Drosophila melanogaster: one gene and its partner. The protein of the gene in region 1 purifies or fractionates together with the protein of each later gene. This does not show direct contact. Each region holds a gene or a part of one and is shown on either strand. Other genes may lie near its edges.

Region 1 (11,685 bases):
TCCCCATTTCGAGCTCCAAAGAGTGAGAAAGAGAAACAGAGGGTCCCCATTATGTAGATTTTGTTTTTGTTCGTCGAACAATGGCGATGCAACGCAACTGAGAGGGAAGTAACCGTCTCAGAAACAAAGACGAACACCACGGAGAGGCAACAAAAACTGCAGCATGGAAAGATACAGATACAACGATTCGCGATCCAAGTGCAGTAGTTGCAGCTCTATTTGATTTCGCTGCACTCAACCGGTTTTGGATCGTGAAAACCTGTCGATCTGTGCCATGGTAAACAAAGGGAAAAGAACCCACCAGCGTACAGTTGCGGTCACGAAAGTAGTGACACCACAAGCTAATATTTTTTTTCGGATTAACTCTTGCGAAAGTGTCCACAATTCAAGGATTTCACTTGGCTCTTTCAGGGTGCCCGCCCACCGCCTGGTGCTATCGGCGTCGAGCGCCTACTTCTCGGCCATGTTCACGGGATCGCTGCGCGAGACCAAGGAACAGGAGGTGACCCTCGGTGAAGTGCACGGCGATGCACTGCATCTGCTGGTCCAGTACTGCTACACCGGGTTCATTGAGATGCGCGAGGACACCGTGGAGACGCTGCTGGCCACCGCCTGTCTGCTGCAGCTGAATGCCGTGGTGACCGCCTGCTGCAACTTCCTGGCCCGCCAGCTCCATCCATCCAACTGCCTTGGGTTCGCCTTCTTTGCGGAGCAACAGAGCTGCACCACGCTGCTGCGTCTGGCGCAGGCCTACACCTGCCAGTACTTTATGCAGGTGTGCCAGAATCAGGAGTTCTTCCAGCTGAACGCCGATCAGTTGGGCAAGCTGCTTAGCAGCGATGATCTCAATGTGCCCTCGGAGCAGGATGTCTTTCACAGTCTGATGTCGTGGGTGCGCCACGATTCCGCTGCCCGTGAGCAGCACATACCGGAGCTGTTGGCCCTGGTGCGACTGCCCCTACTGCAGCCAGCGTTTATCATGGACCACGTGGAGAACGTTTGCAATGCCAACGAGTGCCAGCAGCTGGTTATGGAGGCATTCAAGTGGCACCTGATGCCCGAGCGCCGATCCCGGATAGCCACCGAGCGAACAACGCCGCGCAAATCCACGGTGGGTCGTCTCCTGGCCGTCGGCGGCATGGATGCCCACAAGGGCGCCATCAGCATCGAGAGCTACTGCCCGCGTTTGGACAAGTGGACACCGTGGAAGCACATGACCGGTCGTCGACTGCAATTCGGCGCTGCTGTCATGGAGGATAAACTGATCCTAGTGGGCGGACGTGATGGGCTAAAGACCCTGAACACCGTAGAGAGTTTGGACCTGAATACAATGGCCTGGGCACCGCTCAATGCCATGGCCACACCCCGTCATGGACTGGGCGTGGCGGTGCTGGAGGGTCCACTCTATGCGGTGGGCGGTCACGACGGCTGGAGCTACCTGAACACCGTGGAGAGGTGAGAGGGCAATGAATTTGATGAATTGATGGATATGTACATATATGTATAATTGTGCAACTGAGTAAACATTTTCCAGATGGGATCCCATAGCGCGCACTTGGAGCTATGTGGCACCCATGTCCTCGATGCGTTCCACCGCCGGCGTGGCTGTCCTGGGCGGTCGCCTGTATGCGGTGGGCGGACGTGATGGTTCCGTCTGTCATCGCTCCATCGAGTGCTACGATCCGCACACGAACAAATGGAGCCTACTGGCGCCGATGAACAGGAGACGCGGCGGCGTTGGCGTGAGTATCCTCTAAGCATATCCTTAGTGGTCTTTCTCTTAATTACCTGCCCTACCAGGTGACGGTGGCCAATGGTTTCCTGTACGCCTTGGGTGGCCACGACTGTCCGGCCAGCAATCCAATGGTCTGCCGCACGGAGACGGTGGAGCGCTACGACCCAGCCACCGATACCTGGACTCTGGTAAGCTGGGATTGGGTTATGTGGTTCCCTCAACCTCATCCTCACTTCTAATCGATGTCATCTCATTCCACAGATCTGCTCACTGGCTTTGGGCCGGGACGCGATCGGCTGTGCCCTGCTGGGCGATCGCCTGATCGTCGTCGGCGGCTACGATGGCAATCATGCGCTGAAGAGCGTCGAGGAGTACGACCCGGTGCGCAATGGATGGAACGAGCTGGCGCCCATGGCTTTCGCAAGGGCCGGCGCCTGTGTGGTGGCGATTCCGAATGTCATACCGCCGGCGGCTCAACAGCCGCCGCCCAGTGCTACAGTTTAGTCCAAACCCAATCCACTTTCGGTTGCAGTGTAGGCTCGTTAATTGCATCGCTTATTTCGGATAGAAGGGCCAGATGTTTGGAAACGATTTGCATTTAGCACCCAGCCAAATTTATACGCGAAATTCCTATTAGATACCCATTATTTGGGTAGAGCTTTATAAATTGCATTTAATGTTAGTAAATTTGTCAAGATGTTTCGCTCGGCAGTTAATGCTGCACACAAACTGTAGATTTTATACCTTTCTTGCATTAATCTTAAAAATCCAAACATTCCACGTTTACAAAAGATATTTTCCCAAATTTACCAGTTCATGTAAAGCATTTCCATTTACTTGTAGATATTAAGGAACTTTAGGAGGCAATAATCAAAAGTAGTTTTATAAGTAGCGTGGTCTGAAAGCGATGCACTTAGCGAGAGAGCACTGCACCCGTTCTATAGTAGTTGTTGTTACTGTTGCTGTGAGCTGCTCGTGGTTGTTGCTCGTGTTTCCTAACCCGGCAAGTTTGAAACTGCAGCTCACCTTCGCCTCGCCTCGCTCTCGTCTGTGTTCTGACATGATTCCCTGTGGTATGGCATACACCCAGAACTCACCCACTTTCCGCACCGCACACCCCAACCCAGTATTTTCCCCATAACTCTGCTCTTTTCGGCTTGAATCTAAAAATAAGTAAATCAAAAAAAAAATAAAAAAATCAGTGAAATCTCATAGGATTTAAGAAGTGCATGTTGCGAGGCTTCCAGTTCCAATCTAAAATCGATCCCTAGCTGTAATTAACCAACGTATTTTACACGATACCCTAGTTTCTAAAAATTTTCCATCCCACTCACACCCCATGGTGTCGTACGCTTCACACACTGCACGCCATCTCGCTCGCACCGGTGACGGGCCCACATTCCATATGCATAAATCGTATACACATACTTATATCCTGACAAGACTGCGCCAAGCCAAAATTCCAAAAACCAAAATTGCTCATTTTTGCATGTGAAGTGTGCGAAACCATTAGAAAAACAAAACAAACAAAATCAAAAAAAAAAAAAACGAACGAAAACAATCAAAAAGACAACTGCAATTGCTTAGTTTTAGTTAGTAAATACTTGTCCCATGGAATGATTATATTTCGACTTTTGCATCGTCATTTTGTACCGATATTATTCTTAGTAAATACTAGATGTGTGTGTGCGTACAGCGAGCATTTATTTCTAATTGTTTATTATGTTTTTATTTCTTTCTTTTCCCTTTCCCTTCGATTGCATTTAAAAATTAAAGAAAAAGAAGAAGTGGAAGCCAGTGAGATTGGATCCAATCTGCTATAATAGGCGTCCCAGATGTGTCGAGTTTGTCGACTACTATAACATGTAAATGCTAGACAGACAAGACAACAAACAAAGCAAACTATAAACATTTAAGCCAAGCTAAAAGAAAAAACACAAGAAAACTTGTCAAAAAAAAAAAAAAACAATCCAAATATTACGTATTATTTTATATTTACACATATATATATTTTTACACAAAACATACACTGCGAAATGTATACACTGGATATGTATTTTTTGTAATAAAATCGAAAATTAAACGGTTATTCGCTGCATTTGAAAAACCGAACATATAAAATAATACTATTTTGTCGGTTAAGCGGGGATTGCTCTTTTAAATGGGTAACTTCAAGTTTCTTGATTGTATTTAAATATTTGAAATAATATATTTAAATTATCTAACTTTCTGATTGGAATACGATTTTTTTTAGAATATTAGTGGTAAGGGCGTACCGATAGTTGGCATTCGATGGTTGAGATATCTGGCAACGCCCCGTAGTATATTAGATTAGAACGGCAAAGGTGCGGTCACACTGGCGGAAATTATAAAAATTAATTAAATTAACTTAAACGACCTAAAAAGCGAACTCAACGACAGCTTTGAACGGCCACCGTTGGCGACATGGAAACGGAGCACCTGAAACGACTAGAGGCCAAGGAGGCGGACCACATTCCCGCCATCCTGGACGAATTCAACACAAAGGTGAGCACTGCCAGCGGTTTCTCCCGAAGATTCAACCAGATTATATACCCTTCCTTCTGCCGTAGAATGCGGATCTGCTGGTCTTCGACAGTTTCCGCACAGACAACCTGTGGCACGAACTGTGGCTGGCCATCTTCGGCATATTGGACGACCAGCGGCTTAGTCATCTGCATACGCAGTGCCTGAACACGGTGAGGATTCTAACGCGTGACGAGTTCAGCCTGCAGACGAACTACATCGAACAGGAGGTTAACACCCTGCTGAAGCTGGCTAGGATTGAGGCCGGCTCACTAAAGCTGCCAGCCACGCCGGACGAGCTTAAACAGGAGGAACGCGAGGAGCCCCAGCTGGAGCCCAGCCAGGCCCAATCGGAGGTGATTGCCGAAGCACTTAAGTGTCTGTGCAACTTGGTCTACCAGAGCTCCGACTGCAGGCGCCAGTGCCTGCGGCAACACTGCCTGGATGCAATCCTGAAGAGGGTGGCGTCCTCGATGCGACATCCCTGTGCGTTGGAGTACTACGACATGAAGCTCCTCTTCTTGCTCACTGCATTAGAGCCAGCGGCGCGCTCTCGCCTCCAAATCGATCTGAATGGCCTCACCTACATGACTAAGTGGCTGGACGACAAGCTGGGCGAAGACTCAGTTGGCGAGGAGCAGCTGAACATCATCTGCGAACTGCTCAAGGTGATGTTCAACGTGACCAGTGCTCCGGACAAGAGCCCCAACGAATACGAAATCCAGAGCTTGCATTTGACGGGAGTGCTGAGGGAGCTACTCCTGCGTTTCGGCGACTTGGCCACAGAAAAGGATCGCGCCGTCGTCACACACGCCATCAATCTGCTGACAAACATCTCCGGCAGCTGCCTGACAGAACTCACCCTGCGTTGCTCCAATGCCGAGTTGGAGTCGCACAAGGAAAGAGAGCAGGACAACGAGAAGGAAAAAGATACAGAAGCTGGAGCGGGAGCCAAACCCCGTGAGTGCTGCTCGCAGTGCTTCGAAAAGCGCAATGTTCGGAGTCTGGACGTGCTACTCCGCTACCTAAGGCAATCTCTGGCCCAACAGGAGGCCGAGGCTAGCTCGCATGAGTTGCTTTCCCCAGTGCTGACCGTGCTGGTGAAATGTGCGCGCAGCGATCGAGTTATGCGTCACTATCTACGCCAGGAGATTCTGCCGCCGCTGCGGGACGTTAGTCAACGACCTGAGGTTGGTCAGGAGCTGCGCAATCATCTGTGTCGGTTCCTTACACTGCCCGCGATGATCCTACGAGATCTGTCCGCCGAACTGCTGTTCGTACTGTGCAAAGAAAATGTCGGCAGGATGATCAAATATACGGGCTATGGCAACGCAGCCGGGCTCTTTGCCAAGCGGGGTATACTCGACTGCCGGCGAGTGGAGGGCACCGACTACTCCTCCGACAGCGAGGACAGCGACACCGAGGAGTACAAGCAGCAGCAGCAGGGCATCAATCCAGTCCTTGGCTGCGTAGAGCCGCGCAGCAAGTCGCATCTGGACGACATAAGCGAAGAGCAGAAGGAATACGAGGCTATGCAGCTGGTCAATCTCATCGAACAGCTGCGTCAGGGCGGGATCGTAAAGCCGGCGATGATAGACAAGGACGGGCGCCCGCAGCCGCTGGAACACATCCTTCAGCTGCAGGAGGAGCTGCCGCAGCAGCAGCTCGACCAGAAGCGGAAAACCTAAGCCACAAATGTATTGCGGGATCTGCTATGGCACAACTTCCAAATAGCTACCAAAAAATCACCTTAAACTCTGCATTTATTCCATAAGTTTACTGTCGAATGTAGCTTCGAATGTGTTCAAAAAGCAGATTTTTTTTTTTACATAGTTTATATATTTTATACCACATATTCGAGAACATCTCATTATAACCTACAATTTGTTAACCAAAAATTATCCAATCTGGCTTTGATTTCAGTGATCAGCTTTTGTCTAAATGCCATTATTATTAGTGTTAGCTAAAATAATTATAATCTATCCAATTAGCTTCAATTCGTAGATAAGTTCGGTCTCCCAACTTTTACAGAATTTCTTTAACCATTAACCATGTAGAACGTTGTACTTATTAAGTTATTACGCACTTCGTTGTTATTTTGTTGTCCCGTGAATTGTTCGCACTTTTAAAGTTGATACCATGGCATCCCATAACGTACGGCTTGAAAAAAATAACTAAATGCAAAACAATCGTTGGGGTCTTCCAATTTCAGGAAGTAGGGAGCAGATGAACATCAAATCTGAATTCATTTAAATACACGCCCACACTATAGGACAACTAGGACGACTTTTCATTTTAATAGTTAAGTGCATGTATGTATTATATTTATAAAATTCCAATTATACACTTAGGATCTAGGAATGAAAGCTCTTATTCCGATTCTCAGTTTTCTATTACAAATGATGTTGCATGTGTGTAACACTAACTATAGCTCTAGAATCGAACTAAACGAACTACAAAGTCTATCTATGACAGACGGCAGTGAGGAGCACTTGAAGAGCCATCAAGTTGTGGATGTCGACACGGCCATGCAACCAACTATCCCATCCGCACATTGTTCATGTCCATGTCTAATCTATGTTGTAAATTCCGCATAATAGGGTAAAGGAATAATTCCAAAACTTTCTAAAAGTTACGTGTCTTTGATCTATATACAAGAAATCCTATCTAGAGCTTTATTGTGTTCAATTTGCTATAGCGATGATACTAGTAGATCAACTTATATACATCAAAACATAGTAATATTTTTTGTGCGAGTCTAAATGTACGGCTATCCTAAGCTTAACAATAAAATAAATCAATCAAGGTCATGCTATAATAATCAAGCCACATATTTTCCGATTCATAATGCTTTGAAACTAAATTTTAATTATTAATATTGAATCAGAGTTATAAGGATCGACTCCTCTCCGGCGAGGAGTCCGCCTCTTGAATGTCGCCCTCCATGGGCCTCATGTGATCGAAGCGAGCAATGTAGCTGGGTTTGTGGTGGCGATGGCGGCACGCCTTGTGGCAGTCATTTGGGATTTCTTCTTGGTCATTCTGTTCCAATTTTCGGCGATACTTTTCCTCCTCCCTGCGCTCATCCAACCAAAACAGCTCGTATATGCGGTCGTGCCGCTGGAGTTCATTCGCTCGCTCCAGATCTTTTTCCTTCTGCTTCGGGGGGGTGTATTTGAGAAAGTAGTCGGCATACTTGCTGTCGTTGTCCCGCCCCGGGGAATGCACCGGCTCCGATCCGATCAGCTTTATCGAGTCATTCTGCTGATCCTTCGACAACGATTCATCCGCCTTCTTTTCAGTATGCCCACACACCTTTTCTTCTATCTTCAAGGGTTCGCTCTCCGCCTCAATGCGGCGGCACTGGTTCTCCTTTAGCTTGAGCTCCCGGTTAATCTGCCGCCTTTCCTCCCTCTGCAAAATCTCCATCTGCTGGCGATGCTCCGCTTCTGAGGGAAACCTATCCCTTGTGAAGTAGAACATGCTATGGTGTCTCTCTTTGGGTTTCTTCTCTTGGCACGTCTTGTTTGAGTAGCGATTCTTTGGAATCATACAAGAGTCCCATTGTATCATCCTTGAAGGGCTATCTTTGATGTTGTCCTTCTGGGTCTGAATCGCAGTTTGAACATGGGCCTTCGCTTCGGTATGGAATTTACGTTGAGACTGTGCCTGCGATTGCACTTTGCTTTTCTTCTGGCGAGCCGCGGCTGCCGCGGCCGCCACGGCAGCCAATTCCCGTTGGATCGCCGCATTTTTGTGTTGGCATATGTGCACAGATTTTCGCTGTGCAGCAGGAGCAGTAGCAGCAGCAGCAGGAGGAGCTGCAGCTGGAGGAGCAGAAGCAATAGAGGCTTTCTTAACTGCAGACTCCATGTGGTTGATCTCCTTCGACTGTGCCTTATGTGCAGAGCCCAGCAGCTTAATGTTCTTGCGCGACTGGGTCACCTCGACGGAAGATGGCTCCTTCTTCCATTCCGCCGGGCTCGTGGTCGATTGTTTGGCACTCATTGCAATGTGGTGGGATTTGGATGAGTTGAAAATTTGTGATTCGGCAGGCAGTTATGTGAATTATGTTAATATGTATGGTTGGGCTGGGTTTAGTGGGTCTGCTGTCATGGAACTAATATTACACTTAACTAAAGGCACACTTAGAATTTTGAATATTCACATTCTCATACCACACAGACAGGAATTTTTAAAACTATTGTGATTAAATGAAATTTGTGGTTCGAAATGAAGAATACTGACTGAGATACCGCCTCCAAATCGATCTAAATGGCCTCACCTACATGACCAAGTAGCTGGACGACAAGCTGGGCGAAGACTCCGTTAGCGAGGAGCAGCTGAACATCATCTGCGAGCTGCTCCTGCGTTTCGGCGACTTGGCCACAGAAAAGGATCGCGCCGTCGTCACACACGCCATCAATCTGCTGACAAACATCTCCGGCAGCTGCCTGACAGAACTCACCCTGCGTTGCTCCAATGCCGAGTTGGAGTCGCACAAGGAAAGAGAGCTGGACAACGAGAAGGAAAAAGATACAGAAGCTGGAGCGGGAGCCAAACCCCGTGAGTGCTGCTCGCAGTGCTTCGAAAAGCGCAATGTTCGGAGTCTGGACGTGCTACTCCGCTACCTAAGGCAATCTCTGGCCCAACAGGAGGCCGAGGCTAGCTCGCATGAGTTGCTTTCCCCAGTGCTGACCGTGCTGGTGAAATGTGCGCGCAGCGATCGAGTTATGCGTCACTATCTACGCCAGGAGATTCTGCCGCCGCTGCGGGACGTTAGTCAACGACCTGAGGTTGGTCAGGAGCTGCGCAATCATCAGTGCCGGTTCCTTATACTCAAGGCAATCTGGCACAAAAATATGGATCACTGCGGGTTTTTGTACGAAAAAACGTTCCGTCTTTATAAACCCAATAGAAGTTACAATATAAAATAGATAGAAAAGATCTACGACAAAAAGAATCTTCACTCATTGCATTCGCGTTTCAAAATATATGTATGTATATTGTGTCAAGATTGGGACAAATATTCTAGGACATATCAGTTGCTCTCCGGCAAGGAGTCCGCCTCCTGAATGTCGTCCTCCGTGGGCCTCATGTGATCGTAGGGAGCATGGTGGTTGGGTTTGTGGTGGCGATGGCGGCACGCCTTGTGGTGGTGAACTGGGAGTTCTTCTTGGTCATTCTGTGCCAACTTGCGGCGATATTTTTCCTCCTGCCTGCGATCATTCAGCCAAAACAACCCGTATATGCGGTCGTGCTCCCGCTGGAGTCCATTCGCTCGCTCAAGATCATTCCAATTCTGCTGTGGGGTGGTGTATTTGAGAAAGTAGTCGGCATACGTGGTGTAGTTGTCCCGCCCCGGGGAATGCTCCGATCCGGAATCGCGTCCCCCACTGTCCGGTGCGGGGTTGAGTTCTTTCCCTATTTCCTTATATGCTGTATAGTACTTAGCTCTGTAGGCGTGGTCCAGGTCGAGATTATCGTACTCATTGGTCTCGTCGCGGGCCAAGAACTCTTGCACCTGGCGCTGGCGCTCCTTTTCTTGCTCCTGGCGAAAGATCTCGTAGTTTTGGGATCCGGGACCACCAATGCCCTCCGGCAGGGCTCTTCTGTCATCCTCATCCTTCTCATCACTCTCCTTTGACCGCTGCAGCTTTTTCAAGTGGGTGCTAACGTTCGCATAGTTAAGCACATCCGCATTCAACTCGACAAAGTCCACCAACTCCTCCGTGCACTTCTCCATCTCTAGCTCCAGGTGATGGATCCGTTCGCGGACGCATGTGCCAAAGGTGATCGAATCCTTCTGCTGATCCTTGGACAACGATTCATCCGCCTTCTTTTCAGTATGCTCACACACCTTTTGTTCTATCACCTTGATCGTCTTGGACTCCTGTTCAGTTGTCTCCTTCAAGGGTTCGCTCTCCGCCTCAATGCGGCGGCGGTAGCTCTCCTTCAGCTGGAGCTCCCGTTTCATCTGTCGCTGGTACGCCCTTTCCTCCCTCTGCTGGCGATGCTCCGTTTCTGAGGGAAACGTATCCCTTGTGATGCAGGACATGCTATGGTGTTTCTTTTTATATTTCTTCTCTTGGCACATCTTGTTTGAGTAGCGATTCTTTGGAATAGGCGCTTTAGCTTCCGTCAGGCTCTGGGACTCTTGTATCATCCTCGGAGGGCTATCTTTGATGTTGTCCTTCTGGGTCTGAATCGCAGTTTGAACATGGGCCTTCGCTTCGGTATGGAATTTACCTTGAGACTGTGCCTGCGATTGCCAGCTGCTTTTCTTCCGGCGAGCCACGGCTGCCGCGGCCGCCACGGCAGCCAATTCCCGTTGGACCGCCGCATTGTTGTGTTGGCATTTGGGGACAGATTTATCACCAGATTTCCGCGGTACAGCAGGAGCAGTAGCAGCAGGAGCAGGAGGAGCTGCAGCAGGAGGAGCAGAAGCAATAGAGACTTGCGTAATTGCAGACTCCATGTGGTTGATCTCCTTCGACTGTGCCTTATGTGCAGAGCCCAGCAGCTTAATGTTCTTGCGCGACTGGGTCACCTCGACGGAAGATGGCTCCTTCTTCCTTTCCGCCGGGCTCGTGGTCGGTTGCTTGGCACTTGTTGTCCTGCGGGAGGGAATTGGATGAGTTGAACACTGGTGATTCGCCAAAATATGTGTGGTTGGGCTGGGTTAAGTGGGGCTGCTCTCATGTTACTAATATTACACTTAACTAAAGACACACTTAGAATATTGAATATTCACATCCTCATACCACACAGACAGGAATATGTTGTTAACCTAATAACAATAATATTAATATTATATGTTTCTTAAGACATATTTACTGCTAGTTTATTGTATTTTCAATTTAAACTATTGTGATAAAATAAAATTTGTGGTTTGAAATGATGAAAACTGACTGAGATGCACATAAATGTGGTTCACAAAGAAAGAGGTCCTTGGACATGAAGAATTTTTAGAGGATGATAACTATTAAGCTTAGTATTCTATTGACTATGGCCCTTTTTGAGGCGCATGCGATGTGCCTTTCGGTGCATGGAACGATGCAGTCGCTCCTTCACTGGGCGCTGAACTGTTATGGATTCCACGGATTCCTTCCGCTCCTTGAATGTCTCCTGCTGTAGGTGATTGGATGTGCTGGTGACTTTGGTGATGGCTCGATGCAATCTGAAAGAGGGGACGAGCAGCTAGAATAGCTCCTCCACTAGCCATCGCCCCACAAACGACTAAACCAGCCCTCTACCGCTTCCCCCCAACAACCGTCCCAGCCCAAGCCCCCAAAGATCCCCGAGAGCAGCTCACCTGGCTTGCTTCGTGACTCGCACGGGTTTTGGCAACTCGTCCCGATTGCTGGATGGCGTGGAATTGCTGACCGTGCGGTTACTGCAACTCG
Region 2 (14,193 bases), on another chromosome or scaffold:
AATCTGCACTATCTCAGCTCGGAGCAGGCTCTGGAGGACTTGGCCAGCTTTGTAACCGCCATGAAGGTTAAGTTCAATCTGGGCGATGGCCAGAAATGGATCGCTTTCGGTGGCTCCTATCCGGGATCGCTGGCCGCCTGGGCACGCGAGAAGTATCCCGAGCTCATCTACGGTTCAATTAGCTCCAGTGGTCCTCTGCTGGCTGAGGTTGACTTCAAGGAGTATTTCGAGGTGGTCAAAGCCTCTCTAGCTGCCTACAAGCCCGAATGCGTGGACGCCGTGACCCGCAGCTTTGCGCAAGTGGAGATTCTACTCAAGCACATGATTGGACAACGCAGCCTGGACGAGAAGTTCAAGTGAGTGGATTAGGCTATCGTCCTGCACAAATTTTAATTTTGTAAACCATTTTATACTCAGAACATGCACTCCCATCAAGGACTCCATTGAAAACGACCTGGACATGGCCAATTTCTTTGAGAATCTGGCTGGCAACTTTGCTGGAGTGGTGCAATACAACAAGGACAACAGTCCCCATGCCACCATCACCATTGACGACGTGTGTTTCATCCTCACTTTGATCCCTATCAAGTCCATACTAAGAATGTTTGAACTCCATAGATCTGCGATGTCATGCTAAACACCACGGCTGGTCCACCTGTGACCCGTTTGGGCCTGGTCAACGATATGCTATTGAAGGAATCGAACACCACCTGCCTGGACTACAAGTACGACAAGATGGTGGCGGACATGAAGAACGTTTCCTGGGACTCGGAGACGGCCAAGGGAATGCGCCAGTGGACATATCAGACCTGCCACGAATTCGGCTTCTATCAGACCTCGGATAACCCGGCTGACACATTTGGTGATCGCTTCGGTGTCGACTTCTTTATACGCCAGTGCATGGATGTGTTCTCCAAGAATATGAACGCCAAGTTCCTCAAACTGGTGGTGTCCGCCACAAATGATAACTATGGCGCCCTAAAGCCAAAGACCACAAATGTGTTGTACGTGCACGGTTCCATTGATCCCTGGCATGCTTTGGGCTTGGTCAAGTCCACGAACGCAGCACTTCCTACCATTTACATAGAAGGTATGTGCTTACCAACACATTTTTCACATATAACTTGGGTAATGTAAGCATTTATTGTGTTTTTTTTTTTAGGAACCGCTCACTGCGCCAATATGTATGAGCCGGTGAAAACCGATCCGCCACAACTGGTGGCCGCTCGCAACAAGATACTCAAATTCTTGGCCAAACTACTGGATGGCTACACCTCGGCGTTAATCTGATGGAAAAGTGGCCAAGTCAAGTGTAATTTTGTACTCGTCAGCGAGTTGTTTTATTTTTTGCTTTCGCATGAGTTTTATAATATATTTTTCGGCTCCGCTGGGAGTTAATCCTTCTTGGCCTGCTCCATTTTTTCGTGGAATCGCTTCCAGTAGTGCTGCACCTTGGCATTTTGAACGATATTGTGCTCGACAAAGTTGAGCAACCAGGTGGCGGTTAGGTAGGTCAAGTCATAGAAGAAGGCAACCACGCGAAAGAAATACTTTTCGGTCTGCTCCTTGCTAGGCAAGTTGGCCATGACATCCTGCAACTGCTTGGCGGCCGCCTCCTTGGCCTCCGATGCCTTCTTCTGCGCCTCGGTCATCTTGTCCTCGTTCGAAGTGCCCTTGCTGCGCACGATGGTGCTGGCCTCCAGTGGCTCAGCTCTGCCCAGTTTACCGCCTGCGTTCACTACGGAAATAGTTGGCGCCTGCACCTCGCCAATGGGCACATCCTTACGCGTGGTGTTCTCTGGGTTATTGCCCAAGGTGGATGGAAACCCTGGAGCCGCAAATCCAGGCGGCACGTTCTTGGGCTTCTCATCGCCGCCACCTTCGGCGGAGAACTTGCGGTCGAGATTCAGGAACAGAGCACGCGGGCGCACAGTATTGCCATTGAGGCGATTCAATGTGGAGTAGTCTTTATGGTGGGAAAAGGCGTTAAAGTTTGCTAAGAAAAAAACACGTGCCTGCTTCACTTACTCCACGCTGTGACCAGTGGTCCCGCCACCGACTTACTCCATTTGGTCATTACCATGGCGCGAATCATTTTCCAAGTTTAAGCAGATTAAAAATTCTTCACTGAAGCAATTGACAATTTCAACAAACGAATTAATCCAAAATGCCTGACAAAAAGCAGAATGCGGCAAGGCCAACTTGACAATCATCAGCCAGAGTTGCAACTCTTTCCGAAGAAAATCCCATTTTTTTTGGGAAAGAACGCTAAGTTCAAAAAAGCTAAACCTAAAACAAAATTACTGTTTCTAATATATTTATGAAAATAGGCACAAGCTATAGCTCTAAATTGGAATATACACTAAACTAACTGAGCAATGATCAACATAATTTAAGGATCCTAATATTTATTTTACTAAGTTGTCAGCTCTGTAAGCGCACATGAAATAATAAGCAGCATTGGCAGCATTCAAGTACGAATGGTTATTTTGTATAAATTGTCTTTTATTTAGGCTATTACTAAACATATTAGTAAGTTTACTAGTTACATTTTAGGGCTTACAACTCCAGGCCTTAGGTTCACCTTAAATAACGCTGTCAAGCTCTTGGCAAAGAATAAACGTCCGGAAAATGGCTTGCGCCCAAGGAGACACCTCTGGGGATTTCTGGATGTGGTGCTCCCCTTGGTCACCGCCATTAGCCCGCGAAACTTAACTAAATTCCAAAGGGAGCCGATCGGGTTGAGGTTTTAGGATGTACAAAACCCACCGGCTGTCCTTTGTCGAACTTTACATTTGTGTGGTTAGGCTAATGTTTAAATTAGTTAGCTTATGGGTGCAATTTAATGGACACGGTTAACTAAATTGCAGCTGGTTAGGTTATTTGTTCCGCGACTACTGGCAACCAAATCGGTTATTAAAATTACGTGTGTCAAGCATGTAACGCATTTAAAACATATATGGATCGTACGAGCGTAAATGTATCGAGTTCTTAGCGTTTAATGGAAATGTTTATGCGCGTTTTCCTTTAATACTACGACGCCAGCTAAATAATGATGATCTTGTGCTCCGCCGCCCTCTCAGAATAAGCCAATTTGTTTCAGATTGTTCTTGATGATCACATCGGTGACGGCATCGAAGACGAACTTCACGTTGTTCGTATCCGTGGCGCAGGTGAGATGCGTGTATATCTCCTTTTGGTCTTTTCGCTTGTTCAGGTTTTCGAACTTCATGCGAATGTAGTTGGCCGCCTCCTCGAAGGTGTTGGTTCCTAAAAGTATATCAAGTTAAACAAAAATGTAATCGTTTTCTACACTCTTATCTTACCTGTGTACTCTGGGAAGCATATCGTCAGCGGAGATCTCTTGATCTTCTCCTCAAACAGATCCTTCTTGTTGAGGAACAGTATTATGGATGTTTCCACAAACCACTTGGAGTTGCAGATGGAATCGAACAGCTTCAGGGACTCAATCATACGATTCATCTCTTCGTCCTCGGCCAATACTAGATCGTAACCTAGCGAAATATATAACAATTGCATTAGATTCCTAAGATTCGTAGAATATTTGACTTACCTGATAGCGCGACGCAGAAGATTATGGCCGTAACGCCCTCGAAGCAATGAATCCACTTTTTGCGCTCCGATCGCTGGCCACCCACATCGAAAAGTCTGTGGCGAAAAAAAAACATAACCATTAGAATCGAATCAACCGGAAGTGGGCAATTAATGACAACTCACTTGAAGTGCAGCTGCTTGCAGGAGAAGTGTGTCTCGATGATGCCAGTGGTCTTCACCCGCGTGCGTAGCACATCCTGCTGCGTGGGTATGTAGTTCGGTTGCGCGATCCTATCCAGCGAATTTAGATAGTATCCCGCCGAGTCATTCAACTGATATTCGCGCGATCGGGCGAAGCTCTGCTGTACGCCACCGTCTGCCCAGAGTTTCTTCATCAGGAGCACGATCTCGGGCAGCAGGATGCCCTCGTCGGCGGCAGAGGCGTGTGTGAAGAACTGGCGGGCAATGTCCGTTCGGCTCGGATCGGCAAACTCGATCTTCAGGCGTCCCATTGCGCGGATGATCACCATTAGACTCTGCACCGTGTTGCTGAAGACGACGCGACGATACTCCTCGCATTCCTCCTGCGAGTAGCCCGTGTCATGGATGATCTTCATCTGTTTCACAATCGTTGACTTGCCCGACTCTCCGGCTCCTACAAAAGAAATTCAACAGAGTTTATTAGTTAAGGTGTACTATCAAAGTTTATAAAGAATCATTCCAAGGAAGTGTGAGCTCAATATTTGTATGCACCAAGTTCAGGGCGTAAAACTGAATGAATGAATCGATGAGTTCGGTTTCGGGAAGGGGCTTTTAAGTTTGCCAAGGGGAACGGAAGTGGAATTTATGAATGAGACGATCGAGAAAAGTTGCTCAATTGCGCGACTCAAGAGGTCACGCTTAATTGCGCTGGTCTAGTTGAGAAATGAATGAACATCGTGTATATGGTCATTTAATATAGCATGTCGGATTTCAATACGAATCAAATGAACACCAAATAAGGGTCAATAATATTGTGATAACAGATCAAGTTATATGCACATCATCATGCTAAAGATAATCCAAATAGATATATGCATTTTCTAAGCGTACTACTCTGTAATTTATTATAATTTATTAACTTGCATGGCCGAGCCCTGGAGTTCGTTGAACCACCCACCCATTAGTTATCAAAGGCGTTGGAAATTGCGGAGAAAATTAACTGGGCATAATTTTATTCGCCGAGTGCCTTCAATTGTTAAATGAGACCTGACCCGTCAGCGTTGATAAACAACAAACACACGGGCTCGTCTGGGCAGTTTATTATATATGTAGTACTATGTATATTATCTGCTGCGTCGAATGATAAAAAAAAAAATATGAAACATAATCGCATTACGTGCTCGCCAGTTTCCCTTTTCGCTGAAAACTAAAGAAGTTGAAATCGCAGAGCAAATGGGCAAATACAAAAATTGGCAAATCTGCCGGTCCAAGTAATTTCGAATATCTATAGCTATATATAAACATATATACACGATGTTGGGGCATTGCAACAATGGCGCATTAAGCCGACTTTTTGCTGCAGTTGGTAGTTGGGTCCATTCCCAGCCACCGGATGATTAGGTAATTGCCAAAGCCAAAACTGCGACTTTACTTTCACTTTTCTCAACTTTCAGGGCTTCGATACTTGCACTGAAACTTTAATTGTTTTTACTATTCGTACGTATATCAATCAGCCATGGTTGAAGTTCCCTTGGGGCGGATGGTGCTCATTCAATGAAGATTGGTAAGTTTAATACATATGTTACGTACATTTATGAAGATTAAGAAATTCAGCCTATAGTTTTAGGTACCATAATGTGTTAGAATAGGGTCCACTCTAATTGTAATGTGCTGGCCACTGTTACACCTACTGTTAATATATATTACACTAAATGGCCACTGTTACATTCACTGTCAATATATATTACATTAAATTTGTTTTATAAATTTTTTTGAGTTATTGTTAAGACTTCAATTTTAACCAATTCCGAACAATGCTAACTAATTTTGCCACCAAAAAGTGTTGGAGCGAAAGAGACGCCTGCTGAATGCTGATAATGGGCAAACAACGGTCGCCGCATAATGATGAAATTGACAGATTTGAATACGAATATGGACATAAGGCGATGTTCAAACTTGCCACCGTGTGGAAAAAAGTAGCGAACAAAGCAATCCACAAATGAGCGGCTGGAAAAAGGTCAATTTAATAATAACACTACTAACAAAATGCGAAAGAGTGTGTGCGTGTGTGTTGGTGTGGCTGGGCCTTCATTTATCAATGCACCGTTAGCTGTGCCATAACACGCGCCCGGCCGACTGCGGGTGCGAGCGAGAGGCCAACAATAGGGCTGGAGCGAGACGGGCTCAGAACAACGGCGATACGCACAAAGCCGCGTTTACAAGCTCATTATCATCGCGATGGCCACAACCAAACGGTATTATAATTAACATCATTAAACAGTGAATATCGGCGAAAAAAGAATCGGCGGGGAATGCAGGAATTCTAGCTTCTATTGATATATTTTATAGTTGTTAGAAGTTGCTAAAAAAACTTTTTATTATATTTATTAGAATTTGAAATTGTAAACAACATTCAAATATTTGTTCAATTTGTCATAAATGATTAAAAAATCACTATTTAGCTAGATAGGAAATTTAAGGAAGACATGCAGTTTTTACTGCACCAACCAATTCGTTAGATAATTACTTATCGAAATTAGAATATTCATTGGAAACAGGGTGACTAAGGCTACGCCATGCGATGATTTAAAAAAGAGGGGAGAAGAAAGAACAATAGCTGTAGACAGCAAGAGGAGGAGAATCGTAAGAAAGTGTTTGCGCCATGAGTAATCAAGTTAAATGGCGCCTGGCCTCAGTTATCGAAGTGGGAAATGTGTTAATCAGCGGGGAGTGTGAAATTGAGCGGACCCACCGAAAAAGTAAACAATTAAATCAGATGAAATGCGGCCCCAAAACGGAAGCCCCCCACCTAGTAGTGACTTTCACGCAGATCTCTCGATTATCATGAAATTTCCTATATGTGATGTACATACATATGTACATCAATTATTTAACCACATATAGTATATTGACGTACATATGTATAAGGTCGCTCGCTTGGCGATAATTTTGATAAGCCCAATGATACTTTCAGTTTAAATGTGTTGGTAAGCGAGTTCTTAAATAATTGTAGATTATTAAGTTGCTGTGTGTTGACAGTCTGAGTGCCGATTTTGATATTGGTGCGCCAGCAGCATGACACTATTTTGTTTATATATTATTTTCTTCCCATTTTTTTCATATTTTTTTTTTTTTTTTTTTTTTTACAGATATCCGAGTTCTTACTCATGCCCCCCCCATTGGAATTCGTTTTCTCTCTTCGGTTTGCTGCTCTTTCCTTGCAAATATCATCAAAATAATGCAGTAATTCACTATCTTTGCCCTTAAGCACAATATGTTTGGTTGAAAAACGGTTGAAAAAGTTGTGCTTTTCAATTGAAAGGCTTGCGGAAAGGGGGGGGGGTAAGGAAAAGGGGAGAGGCAGCAGAGTGTAATATAAATTGAGTGTCAGCTGAGCAGCTTTATTAAATCTACTCAATAAGCGCAGCGTTGGGGGCTGCCAATTCCGATTCCAATTCAAGTAAGTAGTCGCTGTACACTGGTAGAAATTACCAATAAATTCAATGAATAATATATATATTTATACTAAATTATAAGCAATGTCTTTACTGCATAATTTGAAAACTATATTTTTTAAAGATATTTTTTTTAGCAAACTAGTACATTCTTCTTTTTCTTTCCGTGTAGCCGCGACAGTTGCATTTGATGGCGGGCCCATTTATTTGCGCTAATATCGTTCACCCCACTTGAAATGTCAGCGAACAAACAACGAAGCAGCAACAAAAACAGCCAATTACTCAGCTGGAAGTCGGAGGAAAGCTGCAGCAGCTCGGAGATCGGAGATCAGAGATCGGTTTTCATCATGATCCAGAAATTACAGAACACACGCCCCACAAGGTGCAAACAATTGAATCAAGTGTAAAATGTTGGGCTAAATTTCAAAATGCAACTGGTGCAAGCTGTTTTCTTGGCTATGTAAACCAGAAGCATTTACACTGGTCAACCGGGGGTTTGGACGAAAACAGCTGGGATACTGAATGATAATAGGGGATATCTTTTAATGGGGATGAAAATGGTAGAATTTTCCTGCACCTTTTAGCGGGCATTTTCCAAACCGGTTTACGAGGTTTTTCATTGAGGCAAACAGTTTTCCTTATTATCTTTAAGCCTGCAAATACAGTGGTTACTCACAAACAAATATAGTGCAAGGTGCGGTGGCTGCTGATAAGCTCGATAAATGTTTTACAGTGTAAATGAAAACTACACTATGTTCTAGGTTCCAAAAAAATCATTTACTAATGTGCATCATTTTTTTTTTTAGAAAAATCCTTTTGAAATGATAACATTTGACATTATGAATTAATTTAGTACAGTAAACCCTATATATCAGTTCACTTAATAAAGGTGTAGGTTGCATAGCCAGTCTTTGCTGTACTTTCCAGCCTACCACTCGTTGCCTTAGTCATCTTGGCCCGATTCATTGGCCAATCAGCCGCGCTGGAGGAAAACTTCCACGGCATTGTTTTTCGCAAATGAATGGCAATGAAATGAAAAGTACACACGCAGACGGTGAAATATATCATCGTTCCCATATGCCGTGCATATAAATCGGCGAGTGGAAATTTAATTGCAGAAGGTTGCAACGCAGCGAGGCATTCAGTTTCACTGCATTTGCCGCAGAGGTCGGGTCACCAAAAACCATACATACATCATATATGTATGTATGTATGTATGCATGTATGTTTGTATATGCGATACGATGGCGCCTCGTCGCTTGAATGGTTTTTCCTGCAAAGTGGAAACCGCTGCGCTATCAACAAACATGTTTCCATTGCGGCAATGGGATCCGATTCGATCCACTTGTTGCATCGATCCAAAAGATCTGAAAAGTGCGTGCCAGCAGATGAGAAACGAGCACTGAGTACCGAGAATCTAGAATCGAGTGTATCCGCACAGTCAAACCGACATTTGGTTTCAATTTACGTTCAATTCCCTTATCGCCAACGAATTATTGGACACAGACATTGCATAATGCACGATCTACGAACAGACGGATTTGTTTAGCCCCAAGCAGCCACATAAACATTGGTTTTCCCAGATAAACAGAGCTGCATGGAGTCTACTTACTCCATTCCATGCATATTTATAGTCGAAATATGGGATAGTTGGGGACTTTAGACTTTTATGTTAAACTGTTAGCTAGAATAACATGGTCTTATAATAACGAGTGATCTTAAAAACAAATAAATTACATTTTTCTAATTTTAGTCTTACTAATTCGTTATACTGTAACTCTACTGTATTGTTTCATCCCATGCCTTCCAGCCTTTTCCAGACCCTTTCGCACTGGAAAAGCCGGCAAAAATCCTTGCCCCAACTCACCACAGCCGAAAGCGCAAAGCAACGGCACCCAGCGGATACCCACCCCGCCCAAGCAAAGCGAGCGAATGGAAAAAAAAATGAGGTCACAACGCGAATTTCAGCAAAGAATTCGCAAAGGGGGGAAATACCGGAATAATGCTAGAGAGGTGAAAAGGTGAAATGGAAGGCGAACGCACCCAGCAGCAGCAGTTTCACCTCCGAGGCGGCCCGCTCGCCCTCCGCCCGCAGGGCGCGATCGATGTTCTTCGACCGCTCGATGGCCTCCTTATCGCGTGCTGTACTCACGGCACAACCCATCTTCGAAATATGTCTTTAGCGATTTGTTGCTCCTTTCTCACTTCGCGCACTCTTCTCACACGCGATTTTTCCAACAATTTCGAGATGCGTCTGCGCGTCGTCGGCTGTACACTTTTTTTCTTTTCGTTTTTTGTGTGCGTTTCCACCTCTCTTCCTTTTCACACAAACACACCACACATGCGCAGCGCACGCAAGCACACACACACAAACACACGCACACACACTGGCTTGAAACGTTTTTGGGTTTTTTTTGGAGATTAGCCCGATTGCATTGCTGTTTTCACGCTTCTTGCTGCAGCGGCAGAGCCGATTTAATATTCTTTTGTCGCTTTAATTTGCTTATCCGCTGATTTTGCTGTGCGCAATATGATTCACTTCGCGTCGGATTGGTGTGACTGTTTGCCGAAGTTCACAGATCGCTTGCTCACTGGCGTTAGTGCATTGCACACGATCGTTTGTGTGGCAACGCTGCCGGGTGTGGTACTCTGCTAGCTGCAGTCTGGCAGTACTCGCGGGGTGTGTGACTTGGCTAGCATCTTCTTGTAGGCAACTGTGACGTCACTTTTGGGCGGTAAATTTCAAATTAATTTAATTGATATACACGCATTTTAATTATCGCAACTTTGTAAACTTTATGCTTGAATGCCACTCATATGATCCTGTTTCCGCTGTTCAGTCGTGAGCCATACATGCATTATGCCCAACTTGCCCTTTGCATTTCAGTTTGTTGTTATAGCGCTTTAAGTGTAAATAAACATAGCCGAAAATATGATGTTGTTCTGAAATGCATGCCCCGCCACTCCCCCCTCATCAACACCAATGCAATGTGCACGCAGGCCGTTGGAGAAAAAGTTCTCAGGGCCCTGGCATAAATAATATTTGCCTTTATTTTGGGACAATTCCATTCCATTCTCGATTTGAATCCCAAATGTCTGCAGTTGCATGCGACGCAGGTACAGTGGAGCTCCTTTCTAACAAACTGACAATATTTAGAATCATTTAAAGTCAATTCGAAGAACAGAACTTTTTAAAAAATAACATAAATACGTCAATTCTTAAATAACAAAACATATGAGAACTAAAGAAATTACTTTCGTTTGCACTGTTAATCTTTTTATTTAAACTGAGCTTATATTTTATTGAGCTTATATTTTTAGTAATATTTAATTTCATTTTTTTTAAACTTATTTTTAGAGAATCATGCATATGCAATGATCATATAATTAATAATAACTTTATTAATGCAATAATATTAATATTTCAAAATTTCATTAGCATAATTCCACTTATAGAAGCTCCTCTGTTTTTTTCCAAATCGATGATATTAAAAGAAACTATTTTGTGAATTTTGTGGTATGGAACGTGACGGGGGGGGGGGGGGGGGGCTGGTCTTTCCGCAGCTAATTTATCTAAACAAAGCGATGCGAAGGCAGGAAGACGAGGATGCGGATAAAGATGAGAATGAGAATGAGGATGAGGATGGGGTCGCAGTGCAAAAGTTTTGCCGCCGCCGGAGGACGTCACATGTGGCCACCATCCCCCTCCCCTCCTCAAGAAACACCCCCACCCCCCTACATCCACCACCCCTCCTCTTGCTCTACCATGAATATAAAGGCCATCAACGGGTCATGATTTACACATGTTTACACGAAAAGTGCGGCATTTGCAGAGGGGCGTAGGAGTGGCGGGGAGAGGGACGGTGAGGAATTAGGGGGCATGCGGGGGTATCTGCTGTCTTGTGAATGAATGATCATTTGTGCGCTACCGAACACCCTGCAACCTCTGTAATTTATCGTAAAAAGCACAAGCTAGAGAAATATGGATTTATGCGGTTTTCGCTGCGCGTGCGAGCGAGAGAGAAATACAGTGATGCTGCACTGTGGGTGGTCGCTCTCATTCCATCTCTGTCGCACTTACTGCCTGCAAATGCGGCGCACGCTGCCACATTGCTGCTCTTGTTGTTGTTGTTGCAGTCGGATTCGGAATCGGAATCGGAATCCCAAACTGTTTGCTGATGCCAACAAATTTGACGAATGTCGGCATCATTTCATCCAAAACTTCAATCGCCATCGGGAAAACGAAGATGAATAAGGAAGGAGAACCAAAAACAACAAGCTGCCAGGAAAACAGCGGCTAGAGAGAGAGAGAGATGGATATGGAGGAGCAATTACAAGGATGGGCCTTGAAATAGATATACCGTTAGCCGGGCCACACATACCATGCACTGCGAGAAAATAGTACAATACAAGCAAGTTGATTTCTGGCGAGAATTCGGTTGTGATTGATATGAAATTTGGTATGTGGCTGGTAGATTCAGAAATGCAAATATTTCCAAGTAATTTATAACAATAGATAGATTTAAAACCATGAATAAATAATTTACACGAATTGGAAAATCCTTAAATCTTTAATAACCAATATTAATAGTTTTATATATATTTTATGTAGTTTAACATTTTGAGGATCCTAACGCAAGTAGTTCCTATTTCTCTCAGTGTCTGCGCGCTGAGTTTGGCACATGTGTGCTGTGTTGTGGCCCTGGGCAAACTCAAGATTGAAAAGATTAATTTCCCCGATAATTCGGCAGGCTGGAAAATGTAGTTTCGGACGAAATCTCTCGCCGGCCGTTGAAAGGTGGAACAGACAGGCGGGAAAAGCGCTCATTTTCCACCAAAAATCAGCCCCTTCAATCTGCAGTCTGCCGCCAAGTGAAGTTGCAGTCTGCAGTTTAAAGAGCACTGATGGATTCCTTTGGGCGTCGATCGTCGGATTATCCAATTGATTTTCGGCACTTTTTCAAAAACGACGTCGGAAAACCGACAAGTGGGGAAAATTAATCGACAGGAAAAGTGGAATGGAGTTGGGGAATGGGTTCAAAATTGGTAGTTACATTGCATTGATTGAGGATATATGTATATATTGGTAATTAAATATATAGTGAAACATGTTTTGTTGCTGTGGAAAATGCCTAATATATATGTATATTAATCAGCATGGAAATCTTTCGTCCGGTTTCTTTCCGCCAAAAGTTCCGATCCATCGATTGTCTTGTAAAGAATTAACTAATAAAAGTGATTTATGTTTAAAACATCTATGTATTTACTTAGCACAGCTAACATGAAAGATACCTCAGACCGCGAGTAACCCCAATTATTCAATAAATTCCGAAGATTTGCCAGCGAAATGAGGCCGCAGAATCGTAAAATCCGAGCGAATAATCTCTTCGACTAAAATAAGCCGCATCGCATTTGTTTACACTGCGATAACTTTAATAACTAGCCCAAAAAAAAAACATATATTACACCGATTCATTCGATCAATTCAAAAGCAGCCCAAAGCAACAAAAAATATAAAAATAAATGAATGGAGCTGGGGAAAATAGTATTTCAACTATTGAACCGACAAGTGTGACTATGTCGGTATATATATATATCTCACTTTTGTTTACATTCCGCAAAGGAAAACCCGAAAATATAGATCTTACATGGCCATACGGTTGCAACCTGCAGTGCGGAGAAAGGGGAGGGGGGAAGAAACGCTTCGCGGCAGGAAACAAAAGTCACTGGCGGTGCAATTGAATTGCCATAAAAATGGAAAGAAGCACCAAGAAATCGGGCCATATCCCAACCATATCCACATCCACCCACTCACGGATGTTGGGCTTCTGGATTGCGGCTCATCTTTGTCATGCATCTGAGTATCTGCGAGATTGGAAAATCGCAGTTCGTGGATTGCAACTATGGTTGCAACTGCTACGTGGCACCTTTTAAGTACCTGCCAGCTGAGATTGTGCAGTTTTTCCCCCCAAACAAATTTAAGATAGTTCCCATGATTCAGTGAGAAACAATTGCTTTTATCTAACAATTTGGTTCGCTTCAAATTTAGATACATCTCGCTGCTGGTCATTCTGCCCTTCGCCGTCGAATTTCGATGCCTGGCATTTTCAGACATCGTAAACCGACCAGGGAAATGGATGTTGTATCACTTGTCTAAGTCTGGCCATCGCCTGTGCCCCTCCAAAGCTATTTTTGACCGATTTTAGTTGATGCTTTATGGCTTTATAATGTCTGTGCACGATCCGTTTTATGAGCTGCCCGTAAAATGGACCCGATTCATCTGGGATCTCCGGCAACAATATGGTAATTTGCTGCCCATTATATGATCTTCAATGGGAACGGGGTAGCTTCTTTAGCTGCAGACTGTAAGGGTTTGGAAAGAAAATCTATATTTTCGAAAATTGAATGTATACACAGAGCTAACCATTTGAATTTCCTAACTAAGATCTCTTTGATTCCTCCTCCTCCTGCTGGCCAAGATCCTTTTCATCCTTGCCAAAGGACTGGCACTTTCCCAGCAGTTTGCCAAAGAGTCCTTTCTCATTTTCCACCGCCGTTTGATGGCGAAGGATCAGCAAAGTTCTGCGGCACTGCAGCAAAAGTCGGGACATGGTTTTTTTTTCTTTTGTAACTTTAATTTTGACTTAGGCCAAAGCAGCTTGAAGTTTGTTTAAAGGCCTGCTGTGATTTTGTTTAAGGGGCTGAAATGATTTATTCGAACTCTGCTACTTTTTCTTGCACTCATCTTTGGATTTGTCTGAGCCGCCGGGTTTGTTTTTGCAACGTGGTGAAGTGGGAACAACAGCTTTGCAAAAAAAAATAAAACTCAAAGATTAACAGGATTCTTTTCTAGTGATATCGTACCCACTTCTGCCACACATATCCTTCTTCTTTTTGTCTTTCTTCTTTTTGGAATCGGCACCCTTGCAAGAATCCTTGCCCGAATCCTTCGGCGATTTGGCCATTAGTCGTGCGCCGAAAA

The links.
Region 2: the proteins of ric8a (region 1) and Galphai purify together in Drosophila melanogaster (affinity purification with western blotting; 2 studies listed by BioGRID). This does not show direct contact.

Annotation. Positions count from the first base shown.
Region 1 is NC_004354.4:9,252,117-9,263,801, forward strand, and holds ric8a (ric8a), read left to right. Parts: upstream 1-4,051; 5' UTR 4,052-4,180; coding exon 4,181-4,261; intron 4,262-4,326; coding exon 4,327-5,967; 3' UTR 5,968-7,086; downstream 7,087-11,685. Other genes in the region: CG17754 (uncharacterized protein), read left to right, coding at 412-1,455, 1,535-1,742, 1,801-1,923, 1,997-2,233, 3,512-3,604; Erk7 (extracellularly regulated kinase 7), read right to left, coding at 9,321-10,896, 11,595-11,685. UniProt on the Drosophila melanogaster protein: Chaperone that specifically binds and folds some, but not all, nascent G alpha proteins prior to G protein heterotrimer formation, promoting their stability and activity.
Region 2 is NT_037436.4:6,970,264-6,984,456, forward strand, and holds Galphai (G protein alpha subunit i), read right to left. Parts: upstream 9,782-14,193; 5' UTR 9,376-9,781; coding exon 9,255-9,375; intron 8,960-9,254; exon of another isoform or gene 7,384-8,959; intron 7,217-7,383; exon of another isoform or gene 6,906-7,216; intron 6,744-6,905; exon of another isoform or gene 6,059-6,743; intron 4,211-6,058; coding exon 3,739-4,210; intron 3,670-3,738; coding exon 3,575-3,669; intron 3,516-3,574; coding exon 3,327-3,515; intron 3,271-3,326; coding exon 3,080-3,270; 3' UTR 2,487-3,079; downstream 1-2,486. Other genes in the region: CG9953 (uncharacterized protein), read left to right, coding at 1-356, 418-556, 619-1,090, 1,163-1,290; CG10063 (uncharacterized protein), read right to left, coding at 1,395-1,966, 2,029-2,095; CG43439 (uncharacterized protein), read right to left, coding at 13,652-13,822; CG32388 (uncharacterized protein), read right to left, coding at 13,937-14,016, 14,080-14,193. UniProt on the Drosophila melanogaster protein: Guanine nucleotide-binding proteins (G proteins) are involved as modulators or transducers in various transmembrane signaling systems.